Macaca mulatta: one gene and its partners. The main gene of each other region encodes a partner of the protein of the gene in region 4 in a complex. Links are inferred from orthologs where the notes say so. Each region holds a gene or a part of one and is shown on either strand. Other genes may lie near its edges.

The links.
Region 1: TAF10 (region 4) and TAF7 share a complex: the UniProt entries of both Homo sapiens proteins name them as parts of the TFIID basal transcription factor complex. The link is inferred for Macaca mulatta from reciprocal best matches to the Homo sapiens genes TAF10 and TAF7.
Region 2: TAF10 (region 4) and TAF4 share a complex: the UniProt entries of both Homo sapiens proteins name them as parts of the TFIID basal transcription factor complex. The link is inferred for Macaca mulatta from reciprocal best matches to the Homo sapiens genes TAF10 and TAF4.
Region 3: the proteins of TAF10 (region 4) and TAF8 are in contact, whole or in part, in a crystal structure (PDB 4WV4), measured with the Homo sapiens proteins. The link is inferred for Macaca mulatta from reciprocal best matches to the Homo sapiens genes TAF10 and TAF8. Residues at the interface, in NP_006275.1 of Homo sapiens: Pro115, Leu116, Phe119, Leu120, Leu123, Tyr126, Thr127, Thr129, Ile130, Pro131, Val134, Thr135, Tyr137, Tyr138, Leu139, Ala142, Gly143, Phe144, Glu145, Ser147, Asp148, Arg150, Ile151, Leu154, Ile155, Leu157, Ala158, Ala159, Gln160, Lys161; in NP_612639.2 of Homo sapiens: Arg33, Thr36, Leu37, Val40, Ser43, Leu44, Leu45, Ala48, Gly49, Phe50, Glu51, Ser52, Ala53, Glu54, Ala56, Ser57, Thr60, Leu61, Met64, Leu65, Gln66, Tyr68, Ile69, Ser70, Ile72, Gly73, Arg74, Ala76, Lys77, Cys80.
Region 5: TAF10 (region 4) and TAF5 share a complex: the UniProt entries of both Homo sapiens proteins name them as parts of the TFIID basal transcription factor complex. The link is inferred for Macaca mulatta from reciprocal best matches to the Homo sapiens genes TAF10 and TAF5.
Region 6: TAF10 (region 4) and TAF11 share a complex: the UniProt entries of both Homo sapiens proteins name them as parts of the TFIID basal transcription factor complex. The link is inferred for Macaca mulatta from reciprocal best matches to the Homo sapiens genes TAF10 and TAF11.

Annotation. Positions count from the first base shown.
Region 1 is NC_133411.1:150,152,934-150,156,968, forward strand, and holds TAF7 (transcription initiation factor TFIID subunit 7), read right to left. Parts: upstream 2,793-4,035; 5' UTR 2,061-2,792; coding exon 1,011-2,060; 3' UTR 501-1,010; downstream 1-500. UniProt on the Homo sapiens protein: The TFIID basal transcription factor complex plays a major role in the initiation of RNA polymerase II (Pol II)-dependent transcription.
Region 2 is NC_133415.1:114,771,960-114,775,459, forward strand, and holds part of TAF4 (transcription initiation factor TFIID subunit 4), read right to left. Parts: intron 1,187-3,500; coding exon 1,019-1,186; 3' UTR 1-1,018. UniProt on the Homo sapiens protein: The TFIID basal transcription factor complex plays a major role in the initiation of RNA polymerase II (Pol II)-dependent transcription.
Region 3 is NC_133409.1:140,083,374-140,087,502, forward strand, and holds the end of TAF8 (transcription initiation factor TFIID subunit 8), read right to left. Parts: intron 636-4,129; coding exon 521-635; downstream 1-520. UniProt on the Homo sapiens protein: The TFIID basal transcription factor complex plays a major role in the initiation of RNA polymerase II (Pol II)-dependent transcription.
Region 4 is NC_133419.1:59,170,777-59,173,984, reverse strand, and holds TAF10 (transcription initiation factor TFIID subunit 10), read right to left. Parts: upstream 1,832-3,208; 5' UTR 1,820-1,831; coding exon 1,588-1,819; coding exon of another isoform or gene 1,573-1,587; intron 1,450-1,572; coding exon 1,295-1,449; intron 1,080-1,294; coding exon 1,015-1,079; intron 931-1,014; coding exon 816-930; intron 639-815; coding exon 549-638; 3' UTR 501-548; downstream 1-500. Other genes in the region: scaffold protein ILK, read left to right, coding at 89-238. UniProt on the Homo sapiens protein: The TFIID basal transcription factor complex plays a major role in the initiation of RNA polymerase II (Pol II)-dependent transcription.
Region 5 is NC_133414.1:115,532,789-115,535,967, reverse strand, and holds part of TAF5 (transcription initiation factor TFIID subunit 5), read right to left. Parts: intron 3,152-3,179; coding exon 3,022-3,151; intron 1,045-3,021; coding exon 880-1,044; intron 1-879. UniProt on the Homo sapiens protein: The TFIID basal transcription factor complex plays a major role in the initiation of RNA polymerase II (Pol II)-dependent transcription.
Region 6 is NC_133409.1:147,388,278-147,392,246, reverse strand, and holds the start of TAF11 (transcription initiation factor TFIID subunit 11), read right to left. Parts: upstream 2,801-3,969; 5' UTR 2,767-2,800; coding exon 2,596-2,766; intron 1-2,595. UniProt on the Homo sapiens protein: The TFIID basal transcription factor complex plays a major role in the initiation of RNA polymerase II (Pol II)-dependent transcription.

The DNA of each region.
Region 1 (4,035 bases), on a different chromosome or scaffold from region 4:
ATGAGAAATTTGGTACCGACTTACTTTATGAGCAATTTTGATGAAATGACATTGATAAATGACCTCAGTTCTCAGATTATTAATTATAAGAACTCAACTGAAGAAAAATAGAAATAAAATCTTAATCCAAACCAATGGAATGATTCATTGGACTGCACTTGATAACCACTGCTTTGTTTCCAACATTTTGTGCAGGTAGATTTAGTAAGCTTTTTAAAAAAGGCACAAAGGCCTTCATCTACAAAAATTAGGGTAGTTTAAGAAAGCTCTGTATCTAATGTTTCCCAGCTTTCAAGTAGATCAGATAGAACTGGAATCTTAATATGATGCAAACATGACAATTCCCAATTTCTTTACCCCTGCTGTGTTGCTTTTTTTCATAAACCAAACTGCCTCTACCTGCAGAACTGGATCAAATTTCTTAGTCACTAAACTCCACCACGAAACCACCTCAAAAGGGACCTGACTCCCACCAACCATGAAAGAACAAGATACACTACAAAGTGAAAAACAGATGCTTTTATTTATTGTATTGTAAACAACTTAATAAAATTTGCATCTCTACATATGGGAAACTGCTTTGAGTAACTGGGAAAACAGCTATTGCATGGGAAAACATATGCAAACTAGCATCACTGTCTCTAGACTAGGTTCTTCTTATTGATCTCATGTCATCATAAGGCAGCAACAGCAGCTTCTAGAAAATGGAGAAACAGCAAAGTCCTGCAGTGGAGCTATAATTAAGGTTGAACCATACATTCCACTAATCCTGCAACTTTCCTACTATCATTTTTCTGCCTATACAATCCTGCTTCTTATAGGATGAACACCTAGCAAAACAATGTAAATTTGCTGAAAAACAAAACTATAAACAAATGAAAGAACTTAACAGAACACACAGCATTAGAGGGACTAGGAAGTGCAAGGTGTTAATATCCAGTACAAGTAATAAAGCCAAGAATTTTCTAATGCTGATCAGTCTGAACACTGAAATTAAGAATCAGTTCTTTTTACTTCTCTAGGAGTGATTCTAGCTCTTCTTGCAAAGAGCTGAGTTGCTCCTTTTCTCGGTCTTCCTTTTGTTTGAGCTCATCCAGTACAGCCTGAAATCTGTTCTTGAGAGCCAGATTTTCCACTTTCATGATGAGATCCTCTTGTCGTTTTGCCCTGTCCTGGGTCTCTTGGAGCTTGCCTTTCATGTTGTCAATCTGCTTCTGAATTCCCATAACCAGCTGATTGGTTCCCTCATTTTCCTGGTGCTGTTCATCTGATTCATTTAGCTTGTCCTGTAGTTGTCTCTCCAGATCTTCCTCAGTGTCAATGATGTTTATATCTTCTTCATCTTGATGCTGGGTCTCATCTTCATCCTCACTGCTGCTGCTGAGGTCATTGAATATCTCCCGAAGCTCATCATGTTCTAATGAGTCATGGCCCTGCCTGTGACCAGACATTCCTGGAGAAGAGATATCCAGGCCTTGATTTTCTGCCTCCTTTGTTTCATCTTCAGCAATTATTTCCCACCGAGTACTAACAGCTTCAGCATCTGTACTCAGCAATCGTTTCACTTCTTTTTCCACATCTGGAGATTCAATATATTTCTTCTTTGCTGTCTTCCGGAACCTTCTCTTCCTGACATTCTTCAGAGGCAGAGTAATTCCGTGGTTCCAGATAAACTTTTTCTCTTTGTCCTTATCCTTTTTCTTGCTTGCTTTAGGATCAGTGCTAGCAACTGGCTCCTCCACAGGTGGATAGAGATCACCATCAACTGTGGATACAAGCATCTGACAGATATCAGCTGTCTTGTAAAAGGTTTTCTTATCAATGGTTTTCAAGCTTTCCATAACACAGGGCAGGTCTACCAATTTTGAGGCCAATGGAACACGGTCCACTCTGACGATTCCATGACGCCCATCAGGATGTAACTCAATTGTCAGTCTGTCCTTGAGGTTGACATGACCAGACTGTACTGCTCTTCTCACAGTAGAGGCATATTCTGGAGGCAGACGTAAGATAAACTGGCTCTCCAGTTCGTGAGGAGCATCATCTTTGCTTTTACTCATTTTTATTTCTTTGTGACTCACTTCTCCAATAAATGATGGTTACCGTAAAAAGTTCCAGCTACTGCAATAGTTTAAAACACCAGTTCGCTATGAATTGAAATATTTTAATTACAAGAAGTTCTCTGTAGATCAGCAGCTTAGCGTCTATTTTGCCTTCGTTTTTATTTAAGCTCCAAGTCTTTTCTCTAAATATGCTGTGACCAAATACCAGTCGTTAACACAAAGGCTTATTCACAGACTTAAGTTCATTAAATCAGATGCAATGCCAAGTCCCAACCTCTAGGTGCCGCTGCCCGACAACGCGGAGACAGCTACCTAGCTAAGAAGCAGGAAAGCAAATGGCGGCTCCCGCGGAACGGTTTTCGGCCCAGAAAGGCCAGCAGAGATACTCTCAATTTACAAACTCTCCCGGAACAGACACTCAAAACATCAGGGCTCAGTGAGCTCTCTTCGCCTCGGGTACTTACAATCCAGTGACGATTATAAGTTCAGTTTCACCGGGCCGGAGCGAAGGGAAGAGGAGGCCGCAAGGAGCAAAGCGGGAGGCAGCCAAGCGTCTCCTTGTCGTTTCCTTAATTCTTCCTGCCGCTTGGCAGAGTGATCCACTATCGATTACTGATGAAAGCCCAGGATGGGCAACGCGAAATCTTGCCGAGAGGCGCAGCTCGGAGAACCAGACCCGGCACCTCGCCGGCCCTCCGTTCGACCGCTTGCCCAGAGAAAACGGAAGTGCTACGTCACGACGCGGGGCGGGAGGTGGATGTGAGTGACAGCCCCTCCGGCCGGAAGGGCGGAGCCCCGGCGCGCGCAGGCGCAATAGCGCAATTACGCTGCCCAGCGTGAAACTCGTCTTTTCGCGAGAACTTGCTTTTCTGGGATGAAAATGATAGTGTTTTCGAAGAGCTGTTGGTTTCAAACTATTTAGCGCTTGGAAGTTACAAGAAAGACACGGATTCGTCCCCCGCTAAGCCAGCACTTTTAAGGGATCGCTGTGGGGCCGGATGGCTTCTAGACTTCCGGGTGATTCCGGGAGATGGGGGACGCCTGGCAGTAAGCGTCTTTGCTTCTGGAAACATCTCGGATGCTTCCTAGGGTCTAGCCAATCTGGTGCCAATACAAGAATGTGTAGCTACTATACAATGGATTTTAAAGAACCCAAATCAGTGGAGTGAGGAGGACATGGAGCTCACTATATAATTCTAAACCTCTCTTTGTTTGTTTGTTTGTTTGTTTTGGAAATGGAGTCTAGGCTGTCACCCAGGCTTGAGTGTAGTGGCACAATATTGGCTCACTGCAATCTGCACCTCCAGGGTTCAAGCGATTCTCCTGCCTCAGCCTCTTGAGTAGCTGGGATTACAGGCACCTTCCACTACCCCAGCTAAGTTTGGTATTTTTAGTAGAGAAGGGGTTTCACCATGTTGGCCAGGCTGGTCTCCAACTCCTGACCTGAGGTGATTTGCCTGTCTTGGCCTCCCAAAGTACTGGGATTATAGGTGTGAGCCACCGTGCCTGGCCCAAAGTCTATATTTTGTTTAATATAATTCCCTGTAGGGGAATTGTGCCTCTGGGTTTCCTTCTGTTCTGTAATACTCCTGAGGAAACAAGGGTGATTCCTTTTTATATGCTTGATTTAGATGTAAATGTAAGCAGAGAAGGAAGTGTTCTTCTGCAAGCACAGGTTCATTTTGGACAGAATTGTCTGATAGACTGAGCATCTGGTTAAAGTAGACATAATTGAAGTATTGTTTCCTGCTTCTCATGTACAAGTAATTTTAAATACTTTGACTTTTTTTTTAACTCCACCTCTACTATTTTGCTGTTTTGTGCTTGTCTTTTCTTTGGAGGGTCAGGTATTCATCAACACATATTTTTAGTATTTTGACATAACTGGGTAACAGTTGGTACTTATTTCTATTTATTTCCATTTATTTTTAAAATATCTGGTAGAGCATCAAGGCCATTAACATTTAATTTC
Region 2 (3,500 bases), on a different chromosome or scaffold from region 4:
TTTACAGCTTTACAAACTATAGCAAATAAAATGCATTTGTACAGATGCTGACCACACATTCAGAAGGAGCCCACCTTTGCTGGGCCCCGCCTCTACCAAGCAGAAATTCGATTACACTCTGAGGTGGGGGTGCTACGATGAATTGTATATTCCTCCAGGATTCTCAGCAGAGCGGAAGGGAGACGAGGGGAGGGCTGGGGGGAGAGGGGAGGGCTGGGGGAGAGGGGAGGTGGGGGGGGGAAGAGGGGAGACGGGGAGAGGGGAGGGGAGAAGAGGGAAGGGGGAGAAGAGGGAAGGGGAGAAGAGGGGAGGGGGAGAGGGGAGGGGAGAAGAGGGAAGGGGGAGAAGAGGGAAGGGGGAGAAGAGGGAAGGGGGAGAAGAGGGAAGGGGGAGAAGAGGGAAGGGGGAGAAGAGGGAAGGGGAGAAGAGGGGAGGGAGGAGAGGGGAGGGGAGCGGGGAAGAGAGGAGGGTGGGGAGAGAGGAGGGTGGGGAGAGAGGAGGATGAGGGAGAGAGGAGGGTGAGGGGGAGAGGAGGGTAGGGGGAGAGGGGAGGGGAAGGAAGATAAATAGTCTAAAAAATCAGTTTGCTTTGCTAACTGACTATTACAAAAATAAAATAAAATGAGGTCATCGGCTGTAGACATACACCTACACAGTAAGTTAGGTAGAACTAAACCAAAATGCACAAATAATGCAGAAACTGCTATGAGTTGACAGAGGGCAGCTAATTATTTGCTAACGATTCCATCAGTCTTTATATATGGCTTGTTTGGCAAGAAGGCCACTCAATCAAGATGAGTTAAGATTTAATTGTCCTTTAAGAGTATCCACAGGCCTTTGTGTTCTCTCTGTTACAGACACGTATTTTCTTTCACACTGAAGAGTTGATTTAGAAACAGGAAAATATAAAACTGTTCCATCGTAAAGAGGTGGCTGTTTTTTAAACAATATCCCATTTGCTTGTTACAAAAAGGCGTAATCTGCAAATATATAAAAAGTCCCCAGGCGTCCTCCTGTGTCACTTAAGGAATGCTTTGTAGAGCAGCAGTGAATGGCTTGTCTCACGTTCATTTTCTAAACAAAATATGAGGTCCCTGAGGTTGACCCGCGTGATTCTTTGTCGCGTGAACTGTCTGGGGGCTCCGACCCCCGAGCTGCCTGGGACCACCGAGCCGGGGCCCGACCCCTGGTGACAAAAACGGAGAAGACAGGGTGTTAGTGGGGCCCAGAGTGGGGCTTGAAATGGGGGCCTGTGTGTCTGAACCAAGTACCCCGATTCCAGAGGAGGCCAGGCCTGGCATGGGCTCCCTCCGGTAGGCCCACAGCTGGAGCTGAGGTGCTGTCCCAGGGCCCTGCCAGGGCAGGGGCAAGGGCAGGAGGCCTCATGCTGCGCCTTCAGGACAGGGCACACTCAGACACTGCCCAATGCCCCACAGTGCTCAGACCTGCTCCTGGGGCTGAGGATGGACCAGGGGGTGGCACCCACCCAAGGCAAATGTCTGAGCGGCCCCAGGGCCACCCTCCATGCAACCACAGCTGGACTGCATGTGGACTCAGCTGGGGTACAAAAGCCACACGGGGTCCCTGTGTGTCATCCTGCTTGGCTGCTGAATTCCCGCACTGGAAGGGCTGGGGTCGGCTGGGACTGGGCATGCTAGGTCAGCTGCGAAGGCTGAGTTGCTCAGTGGCTCCCACAGTGATCCCTGGGCCTCTGGCTGGGCCCTGCTGCACAGACCCTGCCTCCATCAGCCCCTCTAGGTGACCAGGTGCCTCCCGAGCTGCCTCAGATGTGTTCCTGCTTGGAGAAGCATAGCTGCTGGGTGCCAGCTCTTGTGGAGAGCTCTGGTGGTTTCAGCTGATGACACCTGCACGACACCACCTAGCGGGGCCACGCCACACACACACGACACCGCCCAGCGGGGCACGCGCCACACACACACACGACACCGCCCAGCGGGGCACGCACCACACACACACACACAACACTGCCTAGCGGGGCACGCGCCACACACACGACACCGTCCAGCGGGGCACGCGCCACACACACAGACACCGCCCAGCGGGGCACGCGCCACACACACACACACGACACCGCCCAGCGAGGCACACACCACACACACACACGACACCGTCCAGCGGGGCATGCGCCACACACACACACGACACCGCCCAGCGGGGCACGCGCCACACACACACACACACGACACCGCCCAGCGGGGCACGCGCCACACACACACACGACACCGCCCAGCAGGGCACACGCCACACACACACACGACACCACCCAGCGAGGCACACACCACACACACACACGGCACCGCCCGGGGGGCACAAGCCACACACACACACGACACCGCCCAGCGGGGCACAAGCCACACACACACGGCACCGCCCAGGGGGGCACAAGCCACACACACACACACACACACGCACACACGGCACCGCCCGGGGGGCACGAGCCACACACACACGACACCGCCCAGCGGGGCACGCGCCACACACACACACGGCACCGCCCAGGGAGGCACGAGCCACACACACACACACACACACACAAACACGGCACCGCCCAGGGGGGTACGAGCCACACACACACACACACACACACACACACACACACACACACACACGGCACCGCCCAGCGGGGCACACACCACACACACACACACAGCACCGCCCGGGGGGCACAAGCCACACAACTCCCAACGGCTGTGGTTTCCCCATCTGGCATGAAAACTAAGGTCTGCTCTGATGGGGAAAGCTGCTCACGTATATTTAAGTACAAAGATTACAATGGCATCTTTATGGCACATTCTCAACCAAAGTTAAGACGCTGGAAGTAGCTGATTCTGCTCTGCACGCCACTGGGAGCCCTGCCGTGAACAGCCACAGGCAACGCCCGGGCTGCCCTGATGTGGCACCCCTCATCCCGTCCTTCCTCCCGTCCCCGCTCTGCCACTTTCAGTTCAGGCTGGGAGCATGGCTGCCTGTGTGATGGCGTGCAAGTGTGACTCCGACCCACTACATTTTCTTTCTTCCTGTGAGATTCAAACAGAAGAGGGCACCTGTCTCCCTCAGACGCCCTGCACTGTGAGGGCCCTTCTTCAGACCTGCCCCAGGTGCCTCTGCTACTGAAGCCTCCGCACGCTCCACACTAGCTCATTACAAACTGATCCTCACCTGAGGCCGGGCCTCCCAAAAGAGAACTCAGGCGGGGCGAGTGACAGTCTGCAGGGTGAGGGCAGGGCTCTCACACGCACCACCCTAACAGGCTGTGCGACCCAGTGACACCGTCTATAAATTCCACACTGTGTTTGATGCTTCTACCTTCAAAATAGTTCAGCTGCCAAAAGAGAGGACTGGGGTGAAGGGGAGACGCTCATTCCAGGTGCGCAATTTAAGGGCTGCTGAGGGTCGGAAATCAAGATATTCTAATGCCAAGTGTCAGCACCAATCAAGGGAAGGGGCGAGACCAACCAAGGGTGAGGGCGAGACGGTGC
Region 3 (4,129 bases), on a different chromosome or scaffold from region 4:
TCAACCCAAACATCCAGTGAAAATAGGTCATCTTAATAGACGGTTTGCCATGAAAATCATGTCCGATCACACCCTGCAGCCTTGGCTCGGCCATGAGGAGGTCACCCTCTTTTCTTCCCTTGAGTGGCTTTAACTCCCTGGGAGGGTGGAATCTGCGCCCCCGTACAAGCCAGTTTTCCTTCTCAGCTCAGGAGAGGGACCTAGAAAGAAGAGGAACCATGGAGCCTCCTGGTGGGGGCCCTGTCTGCTCTCCTTCTAGGGGAAAACAGCTCCAGTGCTGTGAGGGTTGGTCCCTAGACTGCAGGACACTCAACCACTAAGGAACGAGAGCTGTGTACGGGAGCCAAGTAAGACAGGAAAAGGGAGACTATTCCCTCACCAAAGTGGCTCTCCCCAAGGCTCAGCCCCACTGAGGAGACTCTTTTCTACCAAGGAGCTGAGAAGACCACCTCGGTGGGACAATGAAGGCTCTCTGGACCCCAGCCTCCGACTCACTTCTTCCTGCGGATCTTGGGCTTCTTCACGGGCCGCAGATAAGGGTTATCGATGATGTTCTCCTCCCCATTCCGGCTTCCCGACAAGGAGGGGTTCTGCTGCAACACAGAGGTGTTCTCCTTCTCGGCTCCAGAATCCTCCTTTGAGCAAAAGCCAAAATAAAGCACAACACCAACAGCATAAGGCAAGAGATCATGCCCATAATTGGAATGACCATTAGCATCCTCTAACAGAGAAATTAGAACCTGGGAAGCACCTTCTTTCCAATGTTCGTGTCTTTGCCCCTGATGAAGTGAGGCCCAGGCAGGGGCTGGCTATGAAGGGAAGGCAAGACTAACAGCCTTGACCTAGAAGAGCACACAACAGAGTCGAGAGTCTTGAACCTCTGGAGAAGGCAGGGACAGGGGTTAGAAAGAACAGAGACCTGAGAGGGACAGGAATCAAACTCAGATGCCCCAGGGAGGATGCCCAGCAGGACTGGGAGATACAGGATCAGAACACATCATTTGCATAGGGTATCTCCTGGCCAAGCTAGCCTAAGTCAGAACAGATTTCCTCCTCAAATTCTCACATTTCTGGTACTTGTAACATGGTCCCAACGATCACATCCCAGCATAGGCCAGAAACCTCTAGAGCCCTGAGGGTTCCACTAAGGGAAGCAGAGTCTGCAGGTACAGCACATGCACATCATTGGTAATGCCTATCTGCAACCCATGAGGCAGGGTTTGTTTGAGACGGAGTCTCCCTGTGTCACCCAGGTTGGAGTGCAATGGTGCAATCTCAGCTCACTGCAGCCTCCGTCTCCCGGATTCAAGCAATTCTCCTGCCTCAGCCTCCCAAGTAGCTGGGATTGCAGGCATGTGCCATGACACCCGGCTAATTTTTGTGTTTTTAGTAGAGACGGGGTTTTACCAGTTGGCTGGGCTGGTCTTGAACTCTGAGGCAGGGTTTTTTACTGTTCATTTTTTGAGAAAAATGTGGTTTTTCAGAAAAGTTTGTAAGTTCACATGTAATCAGTATGATCAAAATTCTTAAAAAGTCACAGTTGTGTATAGACACAGAAAAAAAGGTAATATGCTGACATTTTAAAAACTGTTCTGGGAGTATGATCAGTCAGTTCTCCTTTCTTTATTCACAGGCTCCTCTGTTTTCCATGTTTGGTGGGGTGCGCCCCCTGGTGATGGGCCAAGGGGAAGAAGTTCTTCCACAGGGAAGAAGTTCTTCCACGGGGAAGAAGTCACTGAGCTTCCTCTTCCTGTTCTGCAACTTGAGGCCAAAGAGGCCCTCACTGACCTCAAGCAGGAGAGGCTGCTGTCAAAACAGAGGGCGCCGTGACCAGACGGCATGAAATCAACAGCAGGTTCCCCCGACAGGACAGCTGGCCTAGGGCATGGACACCAGTCTCAGGTTTAATGAGCCGGAAGAAACCAGATCACGTCTAGGTTTCCCTGCGGCACATGCCCTCTCTCTGTCCTATCAATTGTTCTCTTCAAAGACCCAGTTCCATTGGCCCAGTATCAGGGCCTATGTACTTTCCCTCTCCAGCACCCAATCCAGTGGGACCACAAGGTGACCTAGAGCCACTGGGGCCTTCTGGAAACTCTTGAAAGCAAGTGCTGCAGGACCAACCTAGTTCAGGCCAGACCAGGTGCCGGAAAAAAAGGTCTGCCCATAACCAGAACTCCCTCGGGTATTTGGCATCCAACCTTTCTGAAGTTCCTAATGGCGCAACAGAGTAGTATCTCCCCACTCTGTCCACCCTATCATTTCTCTACAGTAGACAGCCTATCTTCAAAGTTAATGGAAGTTCATTTCAACCGTGCCTTCAGTGTTTTCTGAGATACAGATAGAGGTGACACTGTTAGAGGTGCTGAAAATGACAGCTTCAAGACACTGCTGGTGGGTCCAGAGGCTCCCTCCCTTCGGCTCACCATGGCTCATGAGCGCAGGATGACAGGCTTCCTTCTCCCAAGCAGACCTCACAGAAATGTCCCCTTCAGCGATACACAGCATTGAGACGGTTAGGGGTGGGGGAGTCAGTAAAAAAAGTAGGCCAGGCGGGGTGGCTCATGCCTGTAATCCAACACTTTGGGAGGCCGAGGCGGGTGGATCACCTGAGGTCAGGAGTTCGAGACCAGCCTGGCCAACATGGTGAAACCCCGCCTCTACTAAAAATACAAAAAAATTTAGCTGGGTATGGTGGTAGGTGCCTATAATCCTAGCTACTCGGGAGGCTGAGGCAAGATAGTCTCTTGAACCCGGGAGTTGGAGGTTGCAGAGCCGAGATCGTGCCACTGCATTCCAGCCTAGACAACACAGCGGGACTCCATCTCAAAAAAAACAAAAAAGCAAAGTGTCAAACTGACCCAGAGATTTGTTAAAAAGGTGAGAGCAGAATGGTCTATCAGGCGCTCCCTGAATTGCCTCTGAGCTCTAGCAAGCCCTAAACCCTCTGTGGTGATTGCATCCGGTCTCCCAGCTCTCCGTGCCATCTCCATGCCAACTGTTCCCTGGAGTACACTGCCAGCCCTCACCTCTGCCGACTTCCAGACTCATGCAGCCAGCAGCTCACTCAGCATTTCCACTGGGGTGTCAGACAGGCAGCTTGGACTTCAGGCACCTAAGTCTGAATTGGGGACCTTCCCCTGTGAGTAAACGGCGCTTTTTAGTCCCTCCCATCACAGGTGATGGCAACTCCATCCTTCTAATGGCTCAAGTCACAAACTCTGTGGTCATTCTTGCTTGTTTTCTTTCTTTTATTTTTAAATAGGGTCTCACTACGTTGCCCAAAACTGGACTCAAATTTCTGGGCTCAATCTTCCTGCCTCAGCTTCCCGAGTGACTAGGACTACAGGCATGAACCACCACATCTGGCACACTTCTTTTCTTTCTCTGACATCCTACCCCCAATCTGTTAGCACAGCCTTTTGGACTTACCTTCAAAATTCAGGCAGGTACTGACCACTTCCACCACCTCTGTGGCAACCACTCTGCTTGGGCCCACCACTGCCTCTCACCTAGGCTATAGCAACAGCTTCCTGACTGATCTCTCCAGTCCGTTCTCACCGAGCCATCAGAGTGATGCTTTAAGAAGCTCAGAAATGTCCCTCCTCTGCTCCACACCCTCCCACAACTCCCATCTCACTTAGTTAAAAGTCAGTTCTTAAAACAGCCTGCAAGGCCCTACCCAATCCACAAGCCACTCACTATTCCACAGGGCCTTTGCACTGCCCATTCCCTCTGCCAGAGTACTCTTCCCCAGATATCCGCATGGCTCACTCCCTCACCCAGTTCAAGCCCCTGCTCACATATCCCCTTCTCGGTAATGCCTACTCCGAGCACCCCACTTAAAACTGAAGACTCGGCCGGGCGCGGTTGCTCAAGCCTGTAATCCCAGCACTTTGGGAGGCCGAGACGGGCGGATCACAAGGTCAGGAGATCGAGACCATCCTGGCTAACACGGTGAAACCCCGTCTCTACTAAAAAATACAAAAAACTAGCCGGGCGAGGTGGCGGGCGCCTGTGGTCCCAGCTACTCCGGAGGCTGAGGCAGGAGAATGGCGTAAACCCGGGAGGCGGAGCTTGCAGTGAGCTGAGATCCGGCCACTGCACTCCAGCCTGGGCGACAGAGCCA
Region 4 (3,208 bases):
TATACAGTTATCCTGTCCCAGGGGCCAGTGGCTTCTCTCTACATGACAGACTCAAATTGTGAGGCTCAGTTTTTTCTTGTATTCACAGGTGGCATTGGAAGGCCTTCGGCCTACCATCCCACCAGGTATTTCCCCTCATGTGTGTAAGCTCATGAAGATCTGCATGAACGAAGACCCTGCAAAGCGACCCAAATTTGACATGATTGTGCCTATCCTGGAGAAGATGCAGGACAAGTAGGACCGGAAGGCCCTTGCCTGAACTCCAGAGGTGTCAGGACATGGTTGGGGGAATGTACCTCCCCAAAGCAGCAGACCTCTGGTTGCCTCCCCTGCCTCCAGTCATGGTACTACCCCAGCCATGGGGTCCATCCCCTTCCCCCATCCCTACCACTGTGGCCCCAAAAGGGGCGGGCTCAGAGCTTTGTCACTTGCCACATGGTGTCTCCCAACATGGGAGGGATCAGCCCCGCCTGTCACAATAAAGTTTATTATGAAAACAGGCTGGTGTGGGGACATGGGGACAGACAAGTACATTTAGGTTGGGTGGCTCAGGTGAAGTAGTGCGGCTTCTTCACATTGATGCCATACTCGCTGAGGGCAGGGGTCAAGTCCTCCATGGTTAAAGTATACTTGCGGTCCTGAGGGAAGAGGGAAGAGCACCAACTGAGCACAGGAATCCCACACTTCAATCCCAGATGGGTGACCCTGAGTAAGTTTTACACCTCCCCTAGGATTCAGTTTCCCCAAAGGGGTGGCAGGATAAGCTTCCACTGTTGTGGAAGGTAATTAGTGATTCAATGAGCCTCCCCTCACACCTTGCTCTTGCTCCGGGAGCTGCCGGAGGCTGTGCCCTTCATTTTGCAGTGCTGTAGGGCATCATTGGCAATATCTGAGATGAATTTCTGGGCAGCTAGGGAGATGAGCCGAATTCTAGAGAGAAAAAACTTAGATGAGAAGGAGATGGACAACACACTGCACAAGCACCCAAAACTAACCTGCCCTGGGTTTACTCACATGCGTGGGTCTGAGGCCTCAAAGCCAGCACGGTTCAGGTAGTAACCAGTCACTGCATCTGGGATCTAAGAAATCAATTAAGAGAACTGTCAGCAGAGTGGGATGAGGGTGAGGGAAATGTCGGATAGACCTGGTTATCAGGAAGCTCACGATTTGGGTGAGCAGAGGGCAAAAACAAGAGCGACTACGGAAGCAAACATCAGAGGGTGCTGAAAAGCACGGAGATGTGGCTGAAAGTTGTGACAGCAGGCTAGGTGGCCTTGTTCGGGCGGAAGCCCACCGTAGGCGTGTAATCCTCCAGCTGCATCAAGAAGTCCACCAACGGCGTGCTGGACACCACCGGCTTCACGTCTCCGTTGGCCGCGCTCGGCAGTACGTAAATCCCGTTAGACATGGCCCCTTCTGGGGGCGCCGCGCCACCCGCCGACACCGGAGCTGGAGGAGAACCAGCAAAATGAGACACAGAGGTGGGAGGCGCAGGGCCCCAGCGAGGTCTGTCTATACCCGCTGCCCTCACCCGCCGCTGGGCCCAGTCCCAGACGCTTCCCTCGCCCTCACCCGTCAGGCCCTCACCCGCCCCACGCCGCTCAGCTGGCTCCCCGGCCCGCGCCGCCAAGGGTCCCGTGCCCCCAGCAGCTGCTCCAGCCCCAGGCCCCCCTGCTGTCCCCGCGGGGCTGGCCTTGTTCTCCGCAGCGGTGCTGGCGGGCAGCGCTGCGGGAGCCGAGACCGGGGGTGCCGGGCCCGGGGCCGAGGCGGCGGAAGCCGGCGCCGCCTCGGGGTCCGCGCCGGAGCCGCTGCAGCTCATCGGGCCGGTGGGAGAGGCGGCGAACAGAGCCGCTTCCGCTTCCGCTCGCGCCGCGCACACCCCGGGGTGACGTCACGCGCCCTCGACTCGCCCCGCCTGTCACTGTTAGTGCTCTCCAGCCCGCTCCCCGCCTCCTCTGGTAGTGGGTCTGCGGGTTAGAGGAAATAGGCTGAAGGGCGGAGACCAAGCCTTGGCGAACTGCGCTGCCGTCGCCATTCCGCCCTAGCCTCTGCGGTGCTCGGTGGCGATTCCGTCGAGACTAGAAGCAGCGTGCGTCCGGGACTCTTCCGCCGCTCTGGGACACCTCATTCTGTCTGACGCTCAAGACCTTGCTTCGAGGTTTATGGGCCCTACATCCCTCGACTACGGATTGCCTGCCTGTCTGCATCCTTTCAAGTTCCCTTATTCAGCCTTGTAAGGATTCATAGTGGATTTGGAAAGCCCCCCGCCCTTCTCCACCAACTGCCCCGAGAGGTGGGGGCAGCAGTGGGGCGGCCCACAGTGCTGCTGTAGAAGGAGGAGGGGTTTCAGCCTAAGTCGACAACGTATGCAAAAATCACAACGAGTGAAAGGCGTGAGATTTTCAATGTAGCAGATATTTAATTCTTATTTGCCAACTCCTGAGCTAGGACCTGGGAATACAAAGTTAAATAGAACACGATTCTAGTCCTTTAGGCACCAACGGTCTTGGAAAGGAAGCCAGACAAGTAAAGTGGCTATTTCAATACTATGTGGTCGTTACAATACTAGAGGTAGACACAGGGGTCGCAGTGCAAGGGAGGAAGGGCATTAACATCTGCCACCTACTTCCAGGTGCCAAGTACTCTTATCAACATTATTCCACTTTATTCCCTGGTGATTAGGAAAGGCAGGTAATATTCCCACTTAACAGACGAGGAAACAGCCTCAGGGAGATAAACTTGCTTGACCCAGTCTCTCTCCCAGTCCATATCAGAACCAAGATTCAAACAGGTTTTGTTTAGAAAATCTAGGATTTTTCAGCCATAGCAAAATGAAGTAGCCTCAGGGAATCAAAACATTCACGAGAGAAGGTGACTTCTGAGCTGAATCTTGTAAGAATTCTGGAAATTAACCAGGCAGTTTGTATCAGGGGTGGTATTAAGGGGACAGAACAGCTTGAGCAAGAGTGAGAGTTCCTTGGGGTTTGGGGAGGGAGGAGGAAAAATGATTTGTTACTTAGGAACAAATAGCAACGAAGGTTTGTGAGCTATGATTGGGGGAAGAAAATAAAAAGCCTGAACTCTATCCAGTAATCCTTGAAGGGTTTTCATCCAAGTGGCCTGATGGGATTTGCATTTTACTCTGGAAGATGATTTGGGGATTGGCCGGAAGTAAGGACGCTGTACTTTTCAAGAGAATGTAGCCCTA
Region 5 (3,179 bases), on a different chromosome or scaffold from region 4:
GTGCAATCTCGGCTCACTGCAACCTCCACCTCCTGGGTTCAAGCAATTCTGCCTCAGCCTCCTGAGTAGCTGAGACTACAGACATGTGCCACCACACCCGGCTAATTTTTGTATTTTTTCTTTTTTTTTCAGTAGAGACGGGGTTTCGTCATGTTGGCCAGGCTGGTCTGGAACTCCTGGCCTCCCAAAGTGCTGGGATTACAGGCGTGAGCCATTGCACCTGGCCAAATAGTTTCTAACCTGAACTACCTTATCCTCAACTTCTAAGAAGATGACAGAGAAACATAAAGGTGCTCACAGTGGTATGGAAGACAAGGTTAAGCATCTGATGGGGGTGGAAGGGAGGACTGTTAATTAACTATTTTTTAAAAACCAGGATTCATATAGATGTAATTGCAGATATAATAATACTCCTGCCCCAATTTCTTTTTTTTTTTTTTTTTTGAGACGAAGTCTCGCTCTTGCCCCTAGGCCAGAGTGTAATGGTGCGACCTCAGCTCACTGCAACCTCCGCCTCTTGGGTTCAAACAATTCTCCTGTCTCAGCCTCCTGAATATCTGGGATTACAGGCGACTACCACCACGCCCAGCTAATTTTTGTATTTTTAGTAGAGAAGCGGTTTCACCACGTTGACCAGGCTGGTCTCGAACTCTTGACCTCAGGTGATCCGCCCACCTCGGCCTCCCAAAGTGCTGGGATTACAGGCGTGAGCCATTGCGCCCGGCCCCAATTTCAAATAAGTTATAAATGCAAAAGCTTCTCAGAAAGTTGATCCTCAACAATGGAAGTGTAAATGAATTTGGCTGGCTGCTGTAATTCCCAACAAGAAACCATTCTATTCATTGAATACACCCAGTCATAAGATCACAGTGTTCTTACCGAGCTACTCGGTCATGGCCCCCTGACACGAAATAATATCCATATGGAGAAAATTGTGTGTCCCATACTGGATAGTTGTGTCCTTTATATCCCACCAAACAAGTAAATGTTTGAAGGCTCCACAATCTAACAGTTCCATCCTCTGAAGAGGAAAGCAGATAGTTCCTGAGAGAAGAGAAGGTAATATATTTGACTCCCAGAGTAACCTTTGGTCACCTGTCCAGTTTTATATACATTTGAATACATTAAATATTTTATATACACTTGAATATTTTACATACATTTGAATATATTAAATATAGCTAACATGCTACATCTCACTTTTAATTCATTCATGCAATTCACAGTAGGTATCAACTGAAAGAACTAACCAAACTAATGTTAGCTCTGACACTCTACATATACCGAGCACCTACTGAATGAGGTAAGATGATACAGAAACTTACGGAAAATCAGTTCTTTACAAGAAAAAAGTACTGGGGTAATTAACAAAGTATAGTCAAGTAAGGTCAATTGAGAAAGTTTAGGAAATGTGATATGTCACTTAAAACTCAACAAGTTTTGACCCTAAAATAAAGATGCTATTTTCCTATGCTGTGTATGCTATTTAAGAATTAAAAAGGAAATGTCTTTTGAAGAAAAAAAAAAAACACTATAGACATGCTAATAATTCTCTACCTTTTTCAAGGATAAACACAACGGATTGGTAGTCAGAAGGTATTACAGTTTTCACTGAAATCAGACGTTTCCTCAAGTAAAAATGTATCATCTGGCAAAACCTTATCAAACAACAAAAAACCTAATTCTCAAAGTTTCATAATGATGAAATCTTGATGAATGGAAGGCTATTATCTTTTTTTCTTCTTTTTTTGAGATGGAGTTTAGCTCTTCTTGCCCAGGCTGGAGTGCAGTGGTGCGATTTCGGCTCGTTGCAACCTCCGCCTCCCAGGTTCAAATGATTTTCCTGCCTCAGCCTCCCAAGTAGCCAGGATTACAGGCGGGCACCATCATGCCCTGCTAATTTTTGTACTTTTAGTGGAGACGGGATTTCCCACGTTGGCCGGTCTCGAACTCCTGATCTCAGGTGATGCGCCAGTCTTGGCCTCCCAAAGTACTGGGATTACAGGCATGAGCCACTGTCCCTGGCCTGAAAGCTTTTATCTATCCAAGTAATATACTAAGGGTATTATGAATACAAAACACCCTCCCCCCATTTTTACAGTGTTAGAGATCATGAAAAATAGGCAAATACCTATACACATAGGATGACATTGTAATCATACACCTAAAGGGAAACAAAACTAATTTCGAATTTCCTTTTTCATTTACTCTTAGTACTTTTGATTATAGAAAGATAAATCCTCAATTACTAGCTAATATGCCATTAATGTCAGGAATTTGTCTTAAATTTGATGAAGCAGCCAGAAGACACAATGCAGGGACCCAATGAAGCATTTCAACCCCTAATGGAGTTCTATAAAACTAAAGCTTTGGTTGGTTATTTACCATTGGGTAACAAATAAAAATAATTTAAAAAAAAAAAAGAAAAGAAGAAAATACTAAAGCTAATTTTTAAAACCAGTAAGCTCTGAAACTGTGCATTTTGATTCTATAAATTTGAGTATACAGGCCGGGCGCAGTGGCTCACGCCTGTAGTCCCAGCACTTTTGGGAGACCAAGGTGGGCAGATCACCTGAGGTTGAGAGTTCAACACCAGCCTGACCAACATGGAGAAAACCCGTCTCTACTAAAAATACAAAATTAGCCAGGTGTGGTGGCGCAGGTCTGTAATCCCAGCTACTTGGGAGGCTGAGCCAGGAGAACCACTTGAACCCAGGAGGCAGAGGTTGCGGTGAGCCGAGATCACTCCATTGCACTCCAACCTGGGCAACAAGAGTGAAACTCCGTCTTAAAAAAAAAAAAAAAAAAAAAAAAAAAGAGTATACATTAAATTGCTACCGTGTACAAACATCAGGATTCAAAGATGAATCAGCAAACGGCAAGATTCTAAAAGATAATGAACGACAACCATGAGATTTTTATCAGAATTTTCCCAGTATTTGCATAATGTTTCCAGTAGTTGACTTTTATATAATTTCAATATAACATAGCAGTATTTAATTTTTATTGTTTGTATTTTACCTATCCGGACTGAAGCTGGCTCCATAGACAGGCCCACTGTGACCATACAAAATCTTCAACTCACTTGCTGTTTTCTCATCCATGATTCTTTCTAAGACATCATCTGATTCTTTGTCTATAAGACTAAGATCTAAAATGGTCCAGAAATATTGATGTTT
Region 6 (3,969 bases), on a different chromosome or scaffold from region 4:
TTTGTTTGTTTGTTTTTTCCCCAGACTCACTCTGTTGCCCAGGCTGGATCATAGCTCACTGCAGCCTCAAGCGATCCTCCTGTGTCAGCCTGCCAGGTAGCTAGGTCTGTAGGTGTGACCCACTCCACTAGGCCCTTTATCTGGTCTCTTGAGTCAGGTGCTTATTTGCAGTATCTTCTGGTTGTTAATAAAAATATGTAAGGCTATACATTTTTCTTTAAATAAAGCTTTGGCCAAATCCCATATCATTTGATAAAGTGTTCTGTTAATTTCTTTAGTCTAAAGGCTATTTAAAAAGTAGTTTAAAATTTCCAGGGGGTTCTTTTTTGGTGGGGGAGAAGCTTTTTGTAGTTAATTTCAAGTTTAATGCATTGCATTAACAAGATGTGGCCTGTTATGATATCTTTTAAGAATTCATATTTTTCTTCATGGTCTAGTACATGATTGATTTTTAAAAGTGTTTCAGAAACAACATAATTTTATCCTCTGTTCGGTGCAAATTTATATATGTAGTGAGCTCTCTAGTGTACCAAGCTAATTATTCAAATCCTTGCTGTCCTTGACACCTGTTTTAAAGTTTCCTTCTTGGCCAGGCATGGTGGCTCCCACCTGTAATCTTAGCACTTTGGGAGGCTGAGGCGGAAGGATTACTTCAGCCCAGTGAGTTGGAGACCAGACTGGGCAATATAATGAGACCTTGTCTCTACCAAAACAATATTTAAAAAACCTTTAGCTGGCCAGGTGCGGTGGCTCATGCCTATAATCCCAGAACTTTGGGAGGCTGAGGCAGATGGATCATGAGGTCAGGAGTTCAAGACCAGCCTGGGCAACTTGGTGAAACCTTGGCTCTACTAAAAATACAAAAATTAGCTGGGCACAGTGGCACGTGCCTGTAATCCCAGTTACTGGGGAGGCTGAGGCAGGAGAATCACTTGAGCCTGGGAGGCGGAGGTTGCAGTAGGCCGAGATTGCGCCATTGCACTCCAGCCTGGGCAACAGAACGAGACTCCGTCTCAAAAACGAAACAAAACAAAACAAAACAATACAAAAACTTCAGCTGAGCGTGGTGCAGTATGCTTGCAATCCCAGTTACTGCGGACGCTGAGATAAGAGGGTTGCTTGAGCCCAGGAGGCAGAGACTGTGCCACTGCACTCCAGGCTGGGTGACAGAGTGAGACCTTGTCTCAACAAACCAACAAAAACTGCCTTAAAGGAGCTTGCAGTGAGCCGAGATCGCGCCACTGCACATTCCAGCCTGGGTGACAGAGCGAGTACTCAGTCTCAAAAACAAAAACAAAAACAAAAAAAGAAACCTGCCTTAAAATACTTTTGTCAAATGTTCTCTTTTTCTTTTTTTCGAGACGGAGTTTCACTCTGGCACCCAAGCTGGTGTGCAGTGGTGCGATCTCGGCTCACTGCAACCTCTGCCTCCCAGGTTCAAGCGATTCTTGTGCCTCAGCCTCCTAAGTAGCCGGGATTACAGGCGCCTGCCACCATGCCCAGCTAATTTTTGTATTTTTAGTAGAGACAGGGTTTCCCCATATTGGGGATCTCCTGACCTCAGGCGATCCACCCACCTCCGCCTCCCAAAGATTACAGGCGTGAGCCACTGCACCCGGCCAAATTTTCTCTTTTTCTAAAAGTTCTTACTTTATACATTTTTATGCAACTTTATACACTGAAAGGCTATTTCCATCTAATCTACTGTTCACCCCACGATCTCTTAAATCCCTTCTAGCTCTAAGACCCCAAGATTCTACTTCCAGAAATGTAATCCAGAGAACGATGAGTTTCTGGTCCTGACCAATGTTCAGCTAGGCAACACTGCTGAACTCTCTGTAGCATAAAAACACCAGACCCAACTGATGGGTCCCTGATCACCGGGTGCTGTGGCTCACGCCTGTAATCCCAGCACTTTGGGAGGCCGAGGCGGACGGATCACGAGGTCAGGGGTTCGAGACCAGCCTGGCCAACATGGTAAAACCCCGTCTCTAATAAAAATACAAAAAATAGCCGGGCATGGTGGTGTGAGCCTGTAATCCCAGCTACTTGGGAGGCTGAAGCAAGAGAATCGCGTGAACCCGGGAGGCGGAGGTTGCAGTGAGCCAGAGATCGCGCCATTGTACTACAGCCCGGGCGACACTTTTATAAAAGTCTATCTCCCTTTGACAGGTTTGATCGACCCTCCTTCCTATAAAGAAACAAAGTTGTCTTAACATCTAAGACGAACCATATTGCGGTGAAAGGGGTGCTACGAATCCTGGGTTTTAGCTCTTGCACTGCGTCTCAGTGTGACACTGGATCCCAGTTTCCTCACCACTAAAGCCAATAGGCTATTAAAACTCCCTTAGAAGTAGCTTTAATCCCTTGACAAGACTAAAAATATTAACGCAGTGCTTGAGCCTCTGGAACGGAACCAGCACTGGAGTTCTGTTTGGTCGTCCGCTCTCTTCCCCCTCAAGATTAACGATCTGGAGGGAGTTCTGGTGAGTTCGAGTTCTCGTAACTTGGGAGGGACTAACCAGAAGCCCGGCAAGCACCCAGTAACACGATCTCTGGGTATTCCTTCAGCCTCATCGATACATCTCTTCCTACCTCGCCTTCCTCCGCTGCAGCTTCTTTCAAGTCCGCATCTGCGTCTCCGTCAGTTTCCTCTGGGATTCCATCCGTGTCGGTAGCCCCCGGGTCCCCGGACGCAGCGGCCGTCTCATCCGACTCCCCTGTCTCTCCACCTTTGTCGGAGGGCGACTCGCGGGCATCGTCCATCACGGATAGGATTGGAGGGGAGAGGAGATCGCGGCGATGTCTGAGGCAGAAGCTCGGAACCCCGAGCTGCACAGGACAGTATCTTACTTCCTGTCGTCGCGCAGCGATGACATCACCCCTACCGCTCTCCTGAGGGGTCATTTTGAGGCGCGCGTAGAGGACTAGAGGACTCATTTTAACTTTGGTTTGGCGACAGTGGGAAGCGGGAAAATTGGACGTAAAGAGCTCAGACTATGGATCCTCCTAGCTAGGAAACCAGCACTTGTGAAGGAGCGCAGTTTTGTTTACTAAATAACTTTTTCCTTTTCGCCTGTCTAAAAATTCAATACCAGTTAATCCCTTCGTTAACCCCTCAGAGTAAAGTTGGGGGATCGGGAGAAAACTCAGTTCCGTTGTATGGCGGTGTCGTGGAATGAGGCTACCCGGGATTGGTAAACTTTCAGGCAAGACTCAACCTTGTGTATTTCAACTGGCCCGAAACCGCGGGTCTGTGTGTACGTGGAATTGCTAGCATTTCCGCTCCATTCAGCAAGCACCTTAACAACAAAAAGTCATCTAGCTTGAGCAGAATTTATCCAATTCATTTATTCATCCACAACTATTGACTGCGTACTTCGATTTAGAAACAGTGCTAGTACCAGGGAACAAAACACACATAGTTTCTATCCAATTAAATGATTTTTTTTCAGTTCGCAAGTATTCAAGATTGAGGTTTGTTTCTACAAGTCTGACACTTTTCTATCATTTTGGTTAATCTTACCAAAACTAAGAGGAAAGCCTAAAGAGAGGAAGGTGTCTCCTTCGAACGTTTCACTTTAACGAACTAGTTCATGTACTGGGAGGATGAAGTGGTGAGGATATTTCTATTTTAAAATTTTCTTCTCTTCCCTCATAGAGATACGAGGGGGAGGGCGTTTTATTCACCTGGGTATGACTAGGTCCCAGCACCTATTACATATTTAATTTATGCGTGCTTAAAGAATGTCCTTGGAAATGTAGGTGCGCGTTACCATATTTATCTCTTTGTTTCTGCGCTGCCTGGACGAATTGCCGTATTTCCTGTCCCAGGAGCTCCCAAAACGTTTAGGGAAGGAGCGCACTTCGGGAGGCGCGTACAGGTGGGCCTGTTTGTCCCTTTCCACCTATATAATGGGGACCCACAAGGCGCTGTCCCCATAACCCGTGAGGCCTGTCTCGGCACAG